Rattus norvegicus: one gene and its partners. The protein of the gene in region 1 interacts with the protein of each later gene in a biochemical or structural test. Links are inferred from orthologs where the notes say so. Each region holds a gene or a part of one and is shown in the gene's direction. Other genes may lie near its edges.

Region 1 (4,571 bases):
ATTTAAGACAGGGCCTCACTATGTAGTCTAGACCATTCTAGAAGTTGCTTCATAGAGCAGTCTGGCCTAGAACTCACAGAGATCCAGCTGCTCTGCTCTGGAGTATTGAGATTAAAGACATGCACTACCCCACCTGGCTCAAGAGACTAGACAGTAAGAGCCTGATATGGAGTAGTCATGTGGGTCCCCTAACAAGTGGAAGGTGGGGGGTTATCTCCATCTCTGTTCCCTGCCATTAGGTCCCCTTTCCCCTACCTGGACTGCCTCATTGTTGGGCCTCAATGGGAGAGAATGTGCTTAGACCTGCTGGGACTAGACTAGATATCTCAGGGTGGGGTGGTACTCAGTGAGGGCTCCCTTTATTTGAGGAGTAAATGAGAGGGCAATGGGGGAGGGGTAAAAAGGCAGATAGTTGGAAACAGCAGGCAAATGGAAGAAATGCTATATATGGTTTGACAAGGGGAATGAGAAGACACTGTGGGAGACATCATGGTATCTAGCCAGAGCCTAATGAAGAGAGTGGTGGCTACAGCAGAGATGATGTCACTTCAAGATCTCTTTAGAAATCCACTGTGACCTGTGAACTAAGAACACAGGGTGCAAATTCCTTACACAGTGAGCAGAGGCCTTCACAGAACCTAGACTCAAAGCCTTGCCTGGAGTTCTTTCACAGAGCCCAGCGTCCTATCATAGGGCCCATGCTCTCTTCAGCTGTCTGCATAGTGCCTTCCATTTCTAACATTTCTTTCTGGGGCAGCCACATTCTGCCTTTGAGTTTAATGCAGTGGACTCTGTGGAGGGAATGAGCATTTGTTCAGTCTGTTGGAGCAGAATATTCTATACACTCATGGGAATCTCGAGATTCCAATCAAGCAAATTCTCCGCTTGATTCCCTCTGTTCCAGAAGGACTGTGAAAGGCACAAAGCAGTCTTGGTTTGCAGGTCACTGGCCAGGGTATAAGCAGGAAACACCTTGGGAAAACTGTTTTTGTTTCTGTTTTTTGTTTTTTTTTTTTCTAACTATTGCTCTATAGAATAAACTTCTCTGTTATAAATGAGAGAAAATTTTTGTCATTCACTGGAGGGCAGGTGAGGGGCAAGAGGCTTCAGAGACATTTCACTGGCCATTAAAGGCTTGGAGTAATGTTCTTTCTTCTCTCTCTGCCCCTGGTCTTGTCTAGTGTTTGTCAGGTTCAACTCCAGCTATGGCTTCCCAGTGGAGGTCGATTCTGACACCAGCATCTTCCAGCTCAAGGAAGTGGTTGCTAAGCGACAGGGGGTTCCAGCTGACCAGCTGCGAGTGATTTTTGCTGGGAAGGAGCTGCAGAATCACCTGACAGTACAGGTGAGTCTCCCTGGGTGGGTGGTCCCTGGGATGTAGCCAGGGCCAAGGCCCTTGCAGTTTATGCTGCCAATCTGACATTCATGCCTGAGATCTAATAGAATAAATAGTGCCTGGGGATTCCTTGAACTTTACTCCACACGGCTTCATTAATTCTGACCTTCTTAATTATGCATTAAAACAGTATGCAGGAAGGACTGGAGGAACAAGTGTGAGTGAGCCAAGAGGGGGAGAAAGAAGCCAGGCGCTCGGCTTAGTGAATAAATGTTTACTGACTGAGGGAGCAGGAAGGCACAATTTCTGGGTCTGTTCAATTTTTACCTTCCTTATTCCATTTGAATCTTAATGAAGAAGGATTCAAATAAATTGTTCCCTATAAGGCTGCTCAGCCCAAGCTCTGTGAGGGATTTACAACCCGACTGTGACCCCTGGAGGACACTCACAGCTGCTGCCTGGACTACAGCAGACACTGGCCCAGGGCCCCATTTGCCGAGGGCTCTGAGCGGTGGATAGGCAGCCTGGAAATTACACAGCAAAAGTCCATCTTCGTATCTCCAAGCATATACAGAGTTATCCCTGGCCTACACCCCGATACAGAACCAAGTGAACCATGGGGTTCTGCTTCCTGTGTATCTGGCCCCTGCTGTGCCATGGAAACCCTCTTCTTTATGGCATCTTGTACATTTGGAGAAATGAGTTTTGCAGGCATCCAAGGAACTGGTTAGCAATCGATGCGCAGGCCGGTTGCCTAGAATGAGAGAACAGTGAGTGTTTTGGAGGGAAGTTCAGCAGAAATGGCCACATTTACTCAAGTGATTAGAAGCAGGGAAAAGCTCGTTCCCTCCTCTCGGTGTATGGTGGAATTGAGCCCCTGCTCCCAGTTGGATGGGGATCTGTGTTGTATTCAGACCTCAGACTGCCTAGTCCCGTCAGTCCTCTTGTGGACTGAGGTGTTCGCTGCTTTGTGAAAAGCTTTTTGGAATGTGGGTGTACAAAGAAACTATAGAAATGCAAATCACTTCTGCTATTCTCCCTGCCCCCGCTGGTGGCAGTAGGACTCACGCCCATTGTGCAGAAACTGCTGTGCCTTGCTTTCCTGCTATTTGTTTTCATAAGGGAAGTGCCTGTGCTAAGAAGTGTTTTGATTTTGTTTTTTATTTCAGTCAACTAAAAAGCTTTCTGCCATTCCTGCCAACTTCTAAACCTAAGTGGTCTCCTTCTCAAATAAATGGTTCTAAAGCTGTTTCTTGAGTCCAGATAGACTTTATTATGAGAACCATTAGATTTTAAAGCCCCTTCGCCTGTACAAGGTGGGGCGAGTGTAACAGTTAGCTGTTCCTTATTCAGTAAGATTAACTGCTGTGGGGGACTGATTTTTATAAAAATCTATGCATTGTTTCAACAGTATTAGCTTGGTTCACACTTTTAGAGCTTCCAGTGCTCAGAGCTTCTCAGGGGCTTGGGTGAAAAGGAGTTCATTCCAGAAGTCTGCTCTTTACCCGCTTAGGGCTCTAAAGTAAAGGAATTCGAGATCAAACTGTCTGCCAGCACCACATAGGATGAAATCATTGAGGTGCCATGAGGTCCAGCCTATAGTACGCACATGCTATGCATAGTTAATGCTGTATAGCCCATAGATATCGTGATGTTTCAAAGGTGCAGACTGGGAAGGTACCAGGACAGAGCTCCCAAATGGACTGAATCCAGATGAGGATTCCTCTGGTGGAAGGACAGCACCCTCCACAGCCTCGGGAGGGAAGATGGGCTTCGTCCTTCCGGAAGCTGGAGGCGATACTGAAGACAGAGGGAAAGATGGAGTCGGCAGGGCATTTGACAGAATCCTGACAGACCTGGCCCTGCAGTGAACGGGATTCCATAAAACGCCATGGGAAGGGAGCTGAATTTCCAGGGGTGCTGAGAGTTTATGAGGAGTGGATATTTATGGAGAGATATTTAACTAACCGTTGGAACCTGGGTCTGGATGTAGGGTGCAAATTTAATATTCACAGATAGTTGCCCAGAGAGAAATACTTTTACAGCAAGTGAAATAGATTCAATCACCAAGGGCTGAGCACAAAGCAGTATGAGTATCCTCATTTCGGTGACAAGGACGCGTGTCAGGAAGTACAGTCCACCCAACTGGCACTCTTGAGGCTTTCCTACAGACTCTAAATTCCGAGACTTAAAACATAAAAGCAGAACATAGCTGTTCTTAGGGGCTGAGGGGATCATTCAGTGACAAAGGTTGTCACAGAAACACAAAAACCTGAATTCAGATCCCAGAACCCACTTTAAGCCTGACGTAGCGATAGCCCTATACAGTTGCTTGTAATTCCAGTGCTCTTAAGGGGACATCAGAAGCTAACAGGGCAGCTAGCCTGGCAGCAGTAAACAAGACACCCTGCCGCAAATTCAGTGAAGGTGGGAACTGACATGTGTGCTTGTCCACACACACACACACACACACACACACACACGAATGTGTTTGTGCATATAAACACTGTACACATAGACACAAAGTTTTTTTTTTTTTAATTTCTGTTATAAGCAATGGGAATTTGGTGAAAGTGACAGAGGACTCTGTAATATGTTCAGCTCCACTTATCACTGAAAGGAAGCAGACATACTTGGAGAGTTCTCAGAGGAGAAATGCTGTCTATCAAGCTCGGCCACATGGACTAGCCCCTGCCTTTATGAATGGCTGACACTTGCGTCAAGTCATAATGAGTGTGAGTCGATTTTGCATCCATTAAGACTGTTTTCCTTAACATAATATCATGCTAAGCACATGCATGGTATTCTAACAGTGTTGATATCTTCATCTACCTATTAAATCTTTAGATTGTGTCCAGTTTTTAATGTAACAAATCAAGGCAAATGGATGTTAACACACAGGATACACATTGGAGAATTTGGCTTCTTTGTCTCACATTGCTCATTTTAAAGGCAGAAATAACTGAGCCCTGCAGTCTTGCTGAAACTTTGTAAGGAAAGGAATGTGTCCGTTCATGTGAAAGGGTTATGTATAAGCCTACGTTTACAAATGTGTGTCATTGTTAACTGTGGGTATCCTGATGGCCGTTCTTAGATCATCTCAAGACTCCCCTCAGACATCATAATCCATGCGTGTAAAATAAGCTAGAGATGAGGTAGCAGTAACAGTGCAAGCGTCATGCTATGCTGTGTATGTGTGCATGTATGTGTGCTCTATTTCCCCACTATAACAAAC
Region 2 (4,571 bases), on another chromosome or scaffold:
GTAAGGGGGACAGCATGGGAGAGAGCGCTCTCTGGAGGTTTACTCCACACCTGTGACTTGGGTCTTCCTCAGGTGTAGAAGGGAAGGGCCATGGTTACTTAACTGAAGTAACCCAGTCGTGGCTCAGGCTGTGTTCTGTTTCCATCTCTCGTGCCATCTTGTTAATTAAATGAGCTAAAATAAATACCTGTCGGGGGTTGGGGATTTAGCTCAGTGGTAGAGCGCTTGCCTAGCGAGCGCAAGGCCCTGGGTTCAGTCCCAAGCTTCGGGAAAAAAAAAAAAAAATACCTGTCATGCATGGTAGGACAGATTCCTATAATAAGTTCAGGGATACTTGGTCTACTTAGCAAGTTCTAGGACAGCTAGGACTACATTAGTAACTCCCTACCTATAAATAAATACTGACACCTACCTCTAAATAAATAAAGGAAGGAAGGAAGGCAAGCATTGGCATTCAAGTGCTCCACTCTAATACCTAATGTGGTTTAACCAGGAGTGGTGTAGTATATTTCTCATCCCTGGCATTCAGAAGGCAGAGGCAGGAGGGTTGCTTTTAAGTTTAAGAATAGCCAAGGATGTATACCAAGACCCAGTCTTAAAAAATATGTGTGTATGTGTGGGATATTTTCCCTGGTGTTGTTTTCTATCTGATATTTTACATATTGTCAGACACTCCACATTCTGTAAACACCCCATCGTTTCTGTCTTAGCAGGGTTGTCGTAGTCAGAGAATTTGACTCTGCTTGTCTTGTTACAAAGCTGAATCTATAAACTTCAACATGTGTCCTCATAGGCCTCAGTCACCTTTATGCTTTTGACTAGCTGCTCTCCCTTCACCAACTCTGTTACCACCAGTAACTAATAAGTTCCTTGAAGTCACAGGTTAACATTTAGACGACCTTTAGAGTTATTTCCCTAACTTGGGTTCTTGTTTTGTTTGGTAGGATCACCTTCCTTGGTCACTGTTTATTTTCTAGATCAAAGAGCATCTTTTCAAAGTTGTAGTTCTTGCTTGCTCTCTGTTTTATTCTCATTTGATGAGAGAATTTAGGCATTCGCCTATTCTGGTGAATGAGGGTAAAACAGAGGCTGGGAATTTCCCAAGTGTTAATAGTGAAAGGGCAACTTGGGTGAGTCACTCACAAACGGTGGGGATGCTGCTGGCGTCAGGGTGATGCTGCACAGGGCTGCTCTCGGCATCACCTTCTCCCTCTGCTGTGTTTGCAGTACGTGGACTGGCCCCGCCTGGAGCCCAGCCCAGAGCATCTCTTCTGTGCTTATCTCCATCCAGTCCCTGATGACTGAGAATCCCTACCACAACGAGCCAGGCTTTGAACAGGTAAGGGCTGTTGGGCCTTGTGCTGAGACCTGCAGTATTGAGCTGTAGGTGCTCTGAGCTACCCTGGAGAGTCCTTTTCTGTTTTTCCACCTAGATAGCCTCCACATAATACTAGTATATAGAGAGGGAAAGGACATAAGTGCTCTTTATTTGCAAGAATTGCAGTATCAGCTGGGCCTGGTGAAGCACACCTTTAACCCCAGTCCTAGGGAGGCAGAAGCTGGTGGAGCTCTGAGGTTAAAGCTAGTGTAGTCTGTGTGGTGATATCCAAGCCAGCTAAGCCTCCATAGTGAGACCCTGCCTCAAAAAAGGGAAAAAAGAAGAAAAGAAAGAAAGGAAACAAACAAATCTTACAATAAAATTACTACATATTTAGCTTGGGTTAGCCAACTTAGTCGAAGTAGTATCATTTAGAAATCAGTTTTGAGGGTTGGGGATTTAGCTCAGTGGTAGAGCGCTTGCCTAGCAAGCTCAAGGCCCTGAGTTTGGTCCCCAGCTCCGGAAAAAAAAAAAAAAAAAAGAAATCAGTTTTGAGCCTATTTTGGGAATTTTTGATTTTTTTAATTTATTTTATGTATATGGGTAGTTTTTTCTATATCTATGTTTGTGTACCTCATGAGTGCCTGATGCCAAGGAAGTCAGAAGGGGGCATCAGGTCCCCTGGGACTGGAGTGAAGAGACATCAACAACCATGTGGGCCCTGAGAATCAAACCCTGGTCTTCTACAAGAGCAGCAGGTACCCTTAACTGATGAGCATCTCTGCAGCTCCATGCCAATGGGTTTTTAAGTGTGTCTGCATTCTGCAGTATGGCCTTAGTGTGCTCTGCAGTGACTGCTGCCTGAGGAGCTAGCTCCCTCCCCCGTATAATACCAAGGATCAAATATACGGAACTTAGCCGTGAAGTGCTTCCCTAACCCTTTGAGGTTTTCATTTTGAAACAGGTTCTGAGGAGTTGTATAGGTCAGTCTTGAATTCTCTATATTCCAAGCAGACTTGAGCTTCTTTTTTACGTAAGATTAGTTTTTGTTACTTGTACTTGAGTGTGTTGTATGGTATGCCTGTGTGCACATGTGCACATGGCATGGAAGCTAGAAGAGTTGTAGAGGGTTATGAGCTGACAGGTATGGGTGCTGGGGTCCAAACTTGGGTCCTCTGGAAGTCTTTGTAACCACTGAGTCATCTCTCTGGTCTCCTAGACCTTGAACTTTAGATCCCCTTGCTTCAGTCTCTCCAGATGGTGGGGATCACAGGCCTGTGTCACCAGGTCTTTCTCTAGCTGTCTATTATTTTGGAGATAGGATGTGTAATTATTTACATAGTTAGAGTAGCTAGTCATTAGTTAAGACAGGGATATTCTAGTTGGCACTGCAAAGGGCATAGGAAATACACATGGCTATATGCCAGGCTGCGCTAGTCCTGTATATTATACATTGTTTAGTATTCATGCTAACTATAAGGTAAATATTGTCCTAATTTTCAGGTGAGGAAATAGAGGTTTTCTTTTTCTTTGTTTTGTTTTTGTTTTATTTCTTTTTTTCCCAGATGGTCTCATGTAGCCCAGGCTTAACGTGTGTGTGGTGTGTGTGTGTGTGTGTGTGTGTGTGTGTGTGTGTCTATGTGTGTGTGTGTGTGTCTGTGTATGTTATGCACATGCATGCTTGGGATAGAACCCTGGAGCCAAAGTGCCTTATAACTTATTTGCATCTGTTTAGCCCAGCTTTTGACTCTATGTTTATTTGGAGTGTTAAAGATTGTTCCTTTGATAAGTTTACAGAGATAGAGGAACCTACAGAGAAGAAAGAAATTAACCAGGCAGCTCCAGAATTGTTCCCCATTAATCTTTACTTAATAAGTCTTTTATTGAGACGCAGAATAATCTGATGGATCGTTTGCTGATTAGTTATTTGACCTATAATATAATAGAATGGGTGTTTTTATGTGTAGGGAGGTCAGGGGTCCACGGCTTAGCCGTCTTGGATTTACAATGGGAAAGGCATTCTTTTCATTCTTTCACTGTATATGTTTGGGTCATGTACTCTGTATTAACCCTGAAGTATCTTTGCACTGCTTTTCTCTTTGACTAAATGGGTACTATGGCGTCTGTCAAATTACAGGAAAGACATCCAGGAGACAGCAAAAACTATAATGAATGTATCCGGCATGAGACCATCAGAGTTGCAGTCTGTGACATGATGGAGGGCAAGTGCCCCTGCCCTGAACCCCTACGGTATGTGCCCAGAGGACCCACTAAGTGTTTGTCCATTTCGGAAACTTGGTTTGCGTCTATGAGGACCTTTGTATCAGAGTCTGTTGTCAAGAAAGGTAGAAAAAAAGAGAAAGATGGATTTTTTTTTTTTCTTTTCTATTTTTTGGAGCTGGGGACCGAACTCAGGGCCTTGCGCTTGCTAGGCAAGCGCTCTACCACTGAGCTAAATCCCCAACCTGGATTTTTTTTTTTTTTAATTCCTTTTTTTATTTGCTTGTGGTTTTTTGTTGTTTTGTTTTGAGGCAGGGTTTCAGTATGTATGTAGCCCTGGCTGTCCTGGAACTTACTATGTAGACCAGGCTAGCCTTCAGTTCACAGAGATCTAGATGCCTCTGCCTTCTGAGTTCTGGGATTAAAGGTATACACCACCACACCTGGCTCCAGACCTACAGTCTTTTACGCTGGCTGGGCAAGCACTTCACCACCAAGCCCCAAGCTTTTGTTCTCTTACCTGATACTCCTTGGGTTGTGTGTTTCGCACATTCACCTGTGGGTGGGTGCGTAGCAGCCAGAGGCCAGCATTGACATCTTCCTCTATTCTCTAGCTTTTGAGATGGGGGTTTTTGTTTTGTTTTAATTTTAATTTATTTATTTATTTTTCTTTCCTTTTTAAGATTTATTTATATATTTTATGTATATGAGTACAATGTAGCTGCCTTCAGACACACCAGAAGAGAGCATTACAAATGGTTGTGAGCTACCATGTGGATGCTGGGAGTTGAACTCAGGACCTCTGGTAGAGCAGTCAGTGCTTTTAACCAGCCCAAGATGGGGATTCTTTATTGAAGCAAGCTGGAGTTGACCATTTTTGCTTGATTGGATGGCCAGCAAGACTCCAGGATCCACCAGTGTTCTCCCTGGGAGCATTAGGGTTGTAGATGTGTGCCATCACAGCGTATACATGTGTGCTGGGGATCTGCATTTGGATCATTGAGCTTCCTTAGCAAGCACTCTACCTACCAAC
Region 3 (4,671 bases), on another chromosome or scaffold:
AGATAATAAAGAAAGAAAGGAAGAAAGAGAGAGAGAGAGAGAGAGAGAGAGAGAGAGAGAGAGAGAGCGAGCGAGCAAGCATTAAGTGGAATCTCTTTCCACACAGTACCTACAGCAACCAAAGTAACCTCATGATTTGGGAGATTCAAGTTAGTGAGAGTTACAAAGGCAGACCTTGCCTCAGTGCAAACAAACATACCAAATTTTATTATTCTCCCTGCCAAAAGTTTTCCATTACACCTAAAACCATGTCTTGTGCATATAAACATTTAGAACGCTAGCCTTTAGCAGATTTCAGCAGAATTTCAAGTTTAAGGCTCATTTAGGCTAAGTACTGAGACCCTGATTTAAAAGTCAGACTTCTTATCTTAGCTTTTATTATTCTACACCTGCCTTCCTTCCAACATTTATTTCGCTCACCCTCATCCCTCATCTTTCCAACACTCCACCATGCTTGTCTTTTTTTTTTTTTTTTTTTTTTTTTTCCGGTGCTGGGGACCGAACCCAGGGCCTTGCGCTTGCTAGACAAGCGCTCTACCACTGAGCTAAATCCCCAACCCCTCAGAGCGGTCTGTGCTCTTTTTCTTTCTTCTTCTTTTTTTTTTTTTTTTTTTTTTGGAGCTGGGGACCGAACCCAGGGCCTTGCAAGCGCTCTACCACTGAGCTAAATCCCCAACCCGCAGTCTGTGCTCTTAACCGCTAAGCCATCTCTCCAGGCCATGCTTGTCTTTTATTTTATCCATCTTACCACTGTGCTTTCTATGTCTTTGGACAGTTTTTCTCCAGAGATTCCCAGTAATGGTCCTGGAAAGCCCCGAGAAATGACATCATCCTTTCAGAAAACACACACCTATTTGGCTCCTCATTTCTTATTTTTCTTCGGACACTCTATCCTCTTGCCCTGTTTTTTGTCCATAATAGTAAGCCCAGTCCAAAATGACCTCATTCACTGTGCATGCTCGATAGTTACCTATCCAACAGAACCACAGTTTTTATTTATCTAGCTCTTTCAGGTGCCTATCAGTGTCTTAAGCACTTTACACACTTTCCCACAACTCATAAGGTAGGCATTTTTTTAGTATTTTATAGATGAGGTACCTGCCGTTCACAGAGATGAAGGGGCTTCCCTTGCAAAAGCATCTCATTTGCTAACAAACTCCCAGGACACCTGCTGTGGAAGCTCTCCAGGAAAGTGGAACACAGAGTCTTTGGGCTTTACCCTTGATCAATCAATCAACGGTTTAACAAGATTCCCAGGTGATTCCTAACAAAGTTTAAATCATGGACAAATTAATTTTCTTAAGTAACACCTCTTACAGTAAGTAGAAACACACAGCTCTCTCCAGTAACCCCAGAAAACCAATCAAGACCAGACTTTTCCCTGTTGGCTTGATAAACAAGAATCTACGTGGTTTTGGGACGCCCCCTCCCCACTTCTCCCCGCTACACCCCAAGATAACCATGGGCATCTTTTCATACATGGCGCCTTTGAACTTTGAAGACTCTGAAGGGAAAATACTCTGAAGGGGAGGAGTTATAAGATGGAACAGAAAACCCAGTGATTAAGAGTGCCTGCCCAAAACAAACCTCGCCTTCTACCCTGAAGGAAAATGGCACTCGCAATATATGCAGTTCCGGTTGCGGAGCAACAGCCAATAGGAGATCCGAATCACCGGAAGTATCCGCCCCCAGCCCCTCCTTTGGGCTCCTCCCCGCTCTCCGGCGGACGAGACAGCCAGGGAACTGTGGCGGAGCAGTGGTTGCTGGGTGACAGTCGGGAGCTGGGACGGAATGAGTGACCGCTGGCGGGTGGCGACGCCCGGGGTGACCTTCGAGCTCCGGACAGGCGCAGCGCGAGCGCCCTGACGGCAGGGCCGGGCAAGAACGACCGGCGGCCAGCCTGTGGGAAGGCCTGTCCAGGTAGGAATCCAGCCGGCTGGGCAGGCTTACGGCCCACGCGGCTTCCTCTCCCCACGCACCTCCTCCGCGCCGTCAGTTCAGGATTCTGGAGGGAGCCACCCTCCTGATGACCTCGGCGCTACGTTTGCCGGCATTAGTGTGTGATCGTTTTTGGTGGCTTTTCATGGGAGCTTCCAGGTTGAACGTCTTTCACTTTAGATTTAACATTACTTTTAAGTTTGGGGACTTTGGCTTGAAGCCTTCATGCCTCCTTTAGGTCTTGACCCCGTAATTGTGACGAAAGCTGCTGCCTTCTTGATGCTTGTACTGTATTGTGACCTGGACATTTTATTTTCTTCTCTACACCTCTAACTGGGAAAGTTAATAACTTAGTTATGTTTTGAGATCTTGGCTTCCTCTGACTAACCCAGGTCCCTGAAGTCCTTAAGAGTCACATGCACACAGTTTAGCTAAACTAGTTTGGAAAATAAATTAGGAAATACAACCAAGATTTCTGTCACTAGCCTTTACCGATTTTACATTTATTATATTTACTTTTCCAGAACTGAAGATTGGGCCCCTCACATGCTAGGTAAGTGCCTCTATACCCCTAAACTCATTTCTAAACGTCTGGTTTTGAGACAGAATGGACTAAGAGACCCAGGCAAGCCTTGATCTCACTCTGTTGACTCTGTAGACTTGAATTTTCAGATTTTTCTGTGTTAGGCTCCTAAGTAACTGGTTACAGGCAAAGGGGGGGGGCAAATTTCATGCGTTTTAGTGGGAGATCACCTAAGAGTGGTCTTTTGTTTCTGACTAACATGGTTTCTATAACTAAGTAAATAATACCAAAATGTATTTGATCTATTTGGTCAGGTTAATTTTTTGCTATTAGGGAATTGAGACATGTCAGGCATGAACTAGCAAGTATCAGAATAAGTATGATTTTAAAATGTTTGTTTTTAGATTTTTTATGTGTATGTTTTTCCTGCATTTATGTATGTATGTTTAACCACAGTTCCTGCCCAGTGCCCTTGGAGGTCAGAATAGTGCATAAGATCCCCTGGAACTGGAGTTACAGGTGGTTGCAAGCTACGGTGTAGGTCCCATAAACCTGATTTAAATCCTGAAGAGCAACAAGTGTTCTTAACCCCTGAGACATCTGCCTAGCCCCAGAAACATGCACATTTCAAATGTTTTTGTTTTTTGTTTTTGTTTATTTTTGAGACAGGCTTTCTGGTTGTCCTGGAACTTTCTCTGTAGACCAGGGTGGCCTTGAACTCACAGAGATCCGCTGTCTCAGAATGCTGGGACTATGCGTGCATCACCATTGCCCACCACTGCCCTGTTTATCATATGGTTTTTTTTTTTGGTTTTTTTTTTTTTGGTTCTTTTTTTCGGAGCTGGGGACCGAACCAAGGGCCTTGTGCTTCCTAGGTAAGCGCTCTACCACTGAGCTAAATCCCCAGCCCCTATCATATGGTTTTTAAAATAACATTTGATTTTTGTGTGGAGGCGTTAGACTTTCACAGTTTGGCTGTATAGTCTTACTGGTTGAACCATTTTGAAGGATTCAGAGTTTTTTGTTTGCTTGGGCTTTTTTTTTCTTTTTTCTTTTTTTCTTAAAGATTTACTTAGATATAAGTACACTGTAGCTGTCTTCAGACGCACCAGAAGAGGGCATGGGATTCCATTACAGATGGTTGTGAGTCACCATGTGATTGCTGGGAATTGAACTCAGGACCTGTGGAAGAGCAGCCAGTGCTCTTACCTACTGAACCGGCTCTCCAGCCCTTGTTTGGGTTTTTTGTTTTGAACAAGGTTTACCAAGGCTGGCCTCCTTCAGTCTTGTCACTGCTGGGATTACAGACCTGGGACACCACACCTCCTTTACCATTCACCTACTTCCTTATTTTATGTATAGGGGTATTTTGGCTGCATGTATGTGCAACCAAGTTTTGGTGTACCATGTGTGTACCTGGTGTCTGTGGAGGTCAGAGGAGGATATCTGAACTCCTGGAACTAGAGTCCTAGACAGTTGTGAGCTGCCATGTGGGTGCTGGAATAGAGCTGGGTCTTGTAGAAGAGCAGCCAGTTCTCTTTAACTGTTGAACCACCTCTTCATGCCGAGCTTTGGTGATGAGGAAAGCCCTGCTATGTTATGTTGTCCAAGTAACCCTGGATTTCCTGGCTTGAGTGCACCTCCTCCCTCAGCCTGTCCAGTAGCTGAGACCCCAGGCATTTATCACCCGGAGGCTAATGACTGCTTTTCTAACCTTTTTCTCACCCTAGGTGCATAATGGCAGAAACCGTATCTCCACTGAAGCACTTCGTGCTGGCAAAGAAGGCCATCACTGCGATCTTCGGCCAGTTACTGGAGTTTGTTACTGAGGGCTCACATTTTGTTGAAGGTTGGTGCCTCTTAACATAGTAAGATTACTGTTGAAAATGTACACAAATGTTTTATTATTTCAACTTTAGTTCTTCATTTTACCTTTTCGAGATCAGGCTTGCCTTGAAATGGCCGTGTAGCTTCTAATCCTGATCCTCCTGCCTCTGCCTCCTGAGTGCTGTGTACACACGCAGGTGTGTGCCCTGCCCAGGTTTAATTGTGGAATTCACACTGCTGTATTCTGGGAAGGATGAGTGAGCGAAAGCATTTCACAGGTCAGAAAAGAGTGTGCTCTGTAATAGTGGAGGAGCCTTTACTCTTCCTAAATAAGTAGGTAAGTGAGGACTGCCCTCATTTTAAAGGCACAGTGAAGATAAGCA

What was found.
Region 2: the proteins of Prkn (region 1) and Ube2z form a complex in vitro, tested with the Homo sapiens proteins (2 studies listed by BioGRID). The link is inferred for Rattus norvegicus from reciprocal best matches to the Homo sapiens genes PRKN and UBE2Z.
Region 3: of the proteins of Prkn (region 1) and Mfn1, one has a biochemical effect on the other in vitro, tested with the Homo sapiens proteins (3 studies listed by BioGRID). The link is inferred for Rattus norvegicus from reciprocal best matches to the Homo sapiens genes PRKN and MFN1.

The regions. Positions count from the first base shown.
Region 1 is NC_086019.1:52,201,964-52,206,534, reverse strand, and holds part of Prkn (E3 ubiquitin-protein ligase parkin), read left to right. Parts: intron 1-1,181; coding exon 1,182-1,345; intron 1,346-4,571. UniProt on the Homo sapiens protein: Functions within a multiprotein E3 ubiquitin ligase complex, catalyzing the covalent attachment of ubiquitin moieties onto substrate proteins. Substrates include SYT11 and VDAC1.
Region 2 is NC_086028.1:81,502,860-81,507,430, reverse strand, and holds part of Ube2z (ubiquitin-conjugating enzyme E2 Z), read left to right. Parts: intron 1-1,227; coding exon 1,228-1,339; intron 1,340-3,455; coding exon 3,456-3,568; intron 3,569-4,571. UniProt on the Homo sapiens protein: Catalyzes the covalent attachment of ubiquitin to other proteins. Specific substrate for UBA6, not charged with ubiquitin by UBE1. May be involved in apoptosis regulation.
Region 3 is NC_086020.1:117,240,054-117,244,724, forward strand, and holds the start of Mfn1 (mitofusin-1), read left to right. Parts: upstream 1-1,704; 5' UTR 1,705-1,920; exon of another isoform or gene 1,921-2,097; intron 2,098-2,462; 5' UTR 2,463-2,491; intron 2,492-4,191; 5' UTR 4,192-4,198; coding exon 4,199-4,310; intron 4,311-4,671. UniProt on the Homo sapiens protein: Mitochondrial outer membrane GTPase that mediates mitochondrial clustering and fusion. Membrane clustering requires GTPase activity. It may involve a major rearrangement of the coiled coil domains.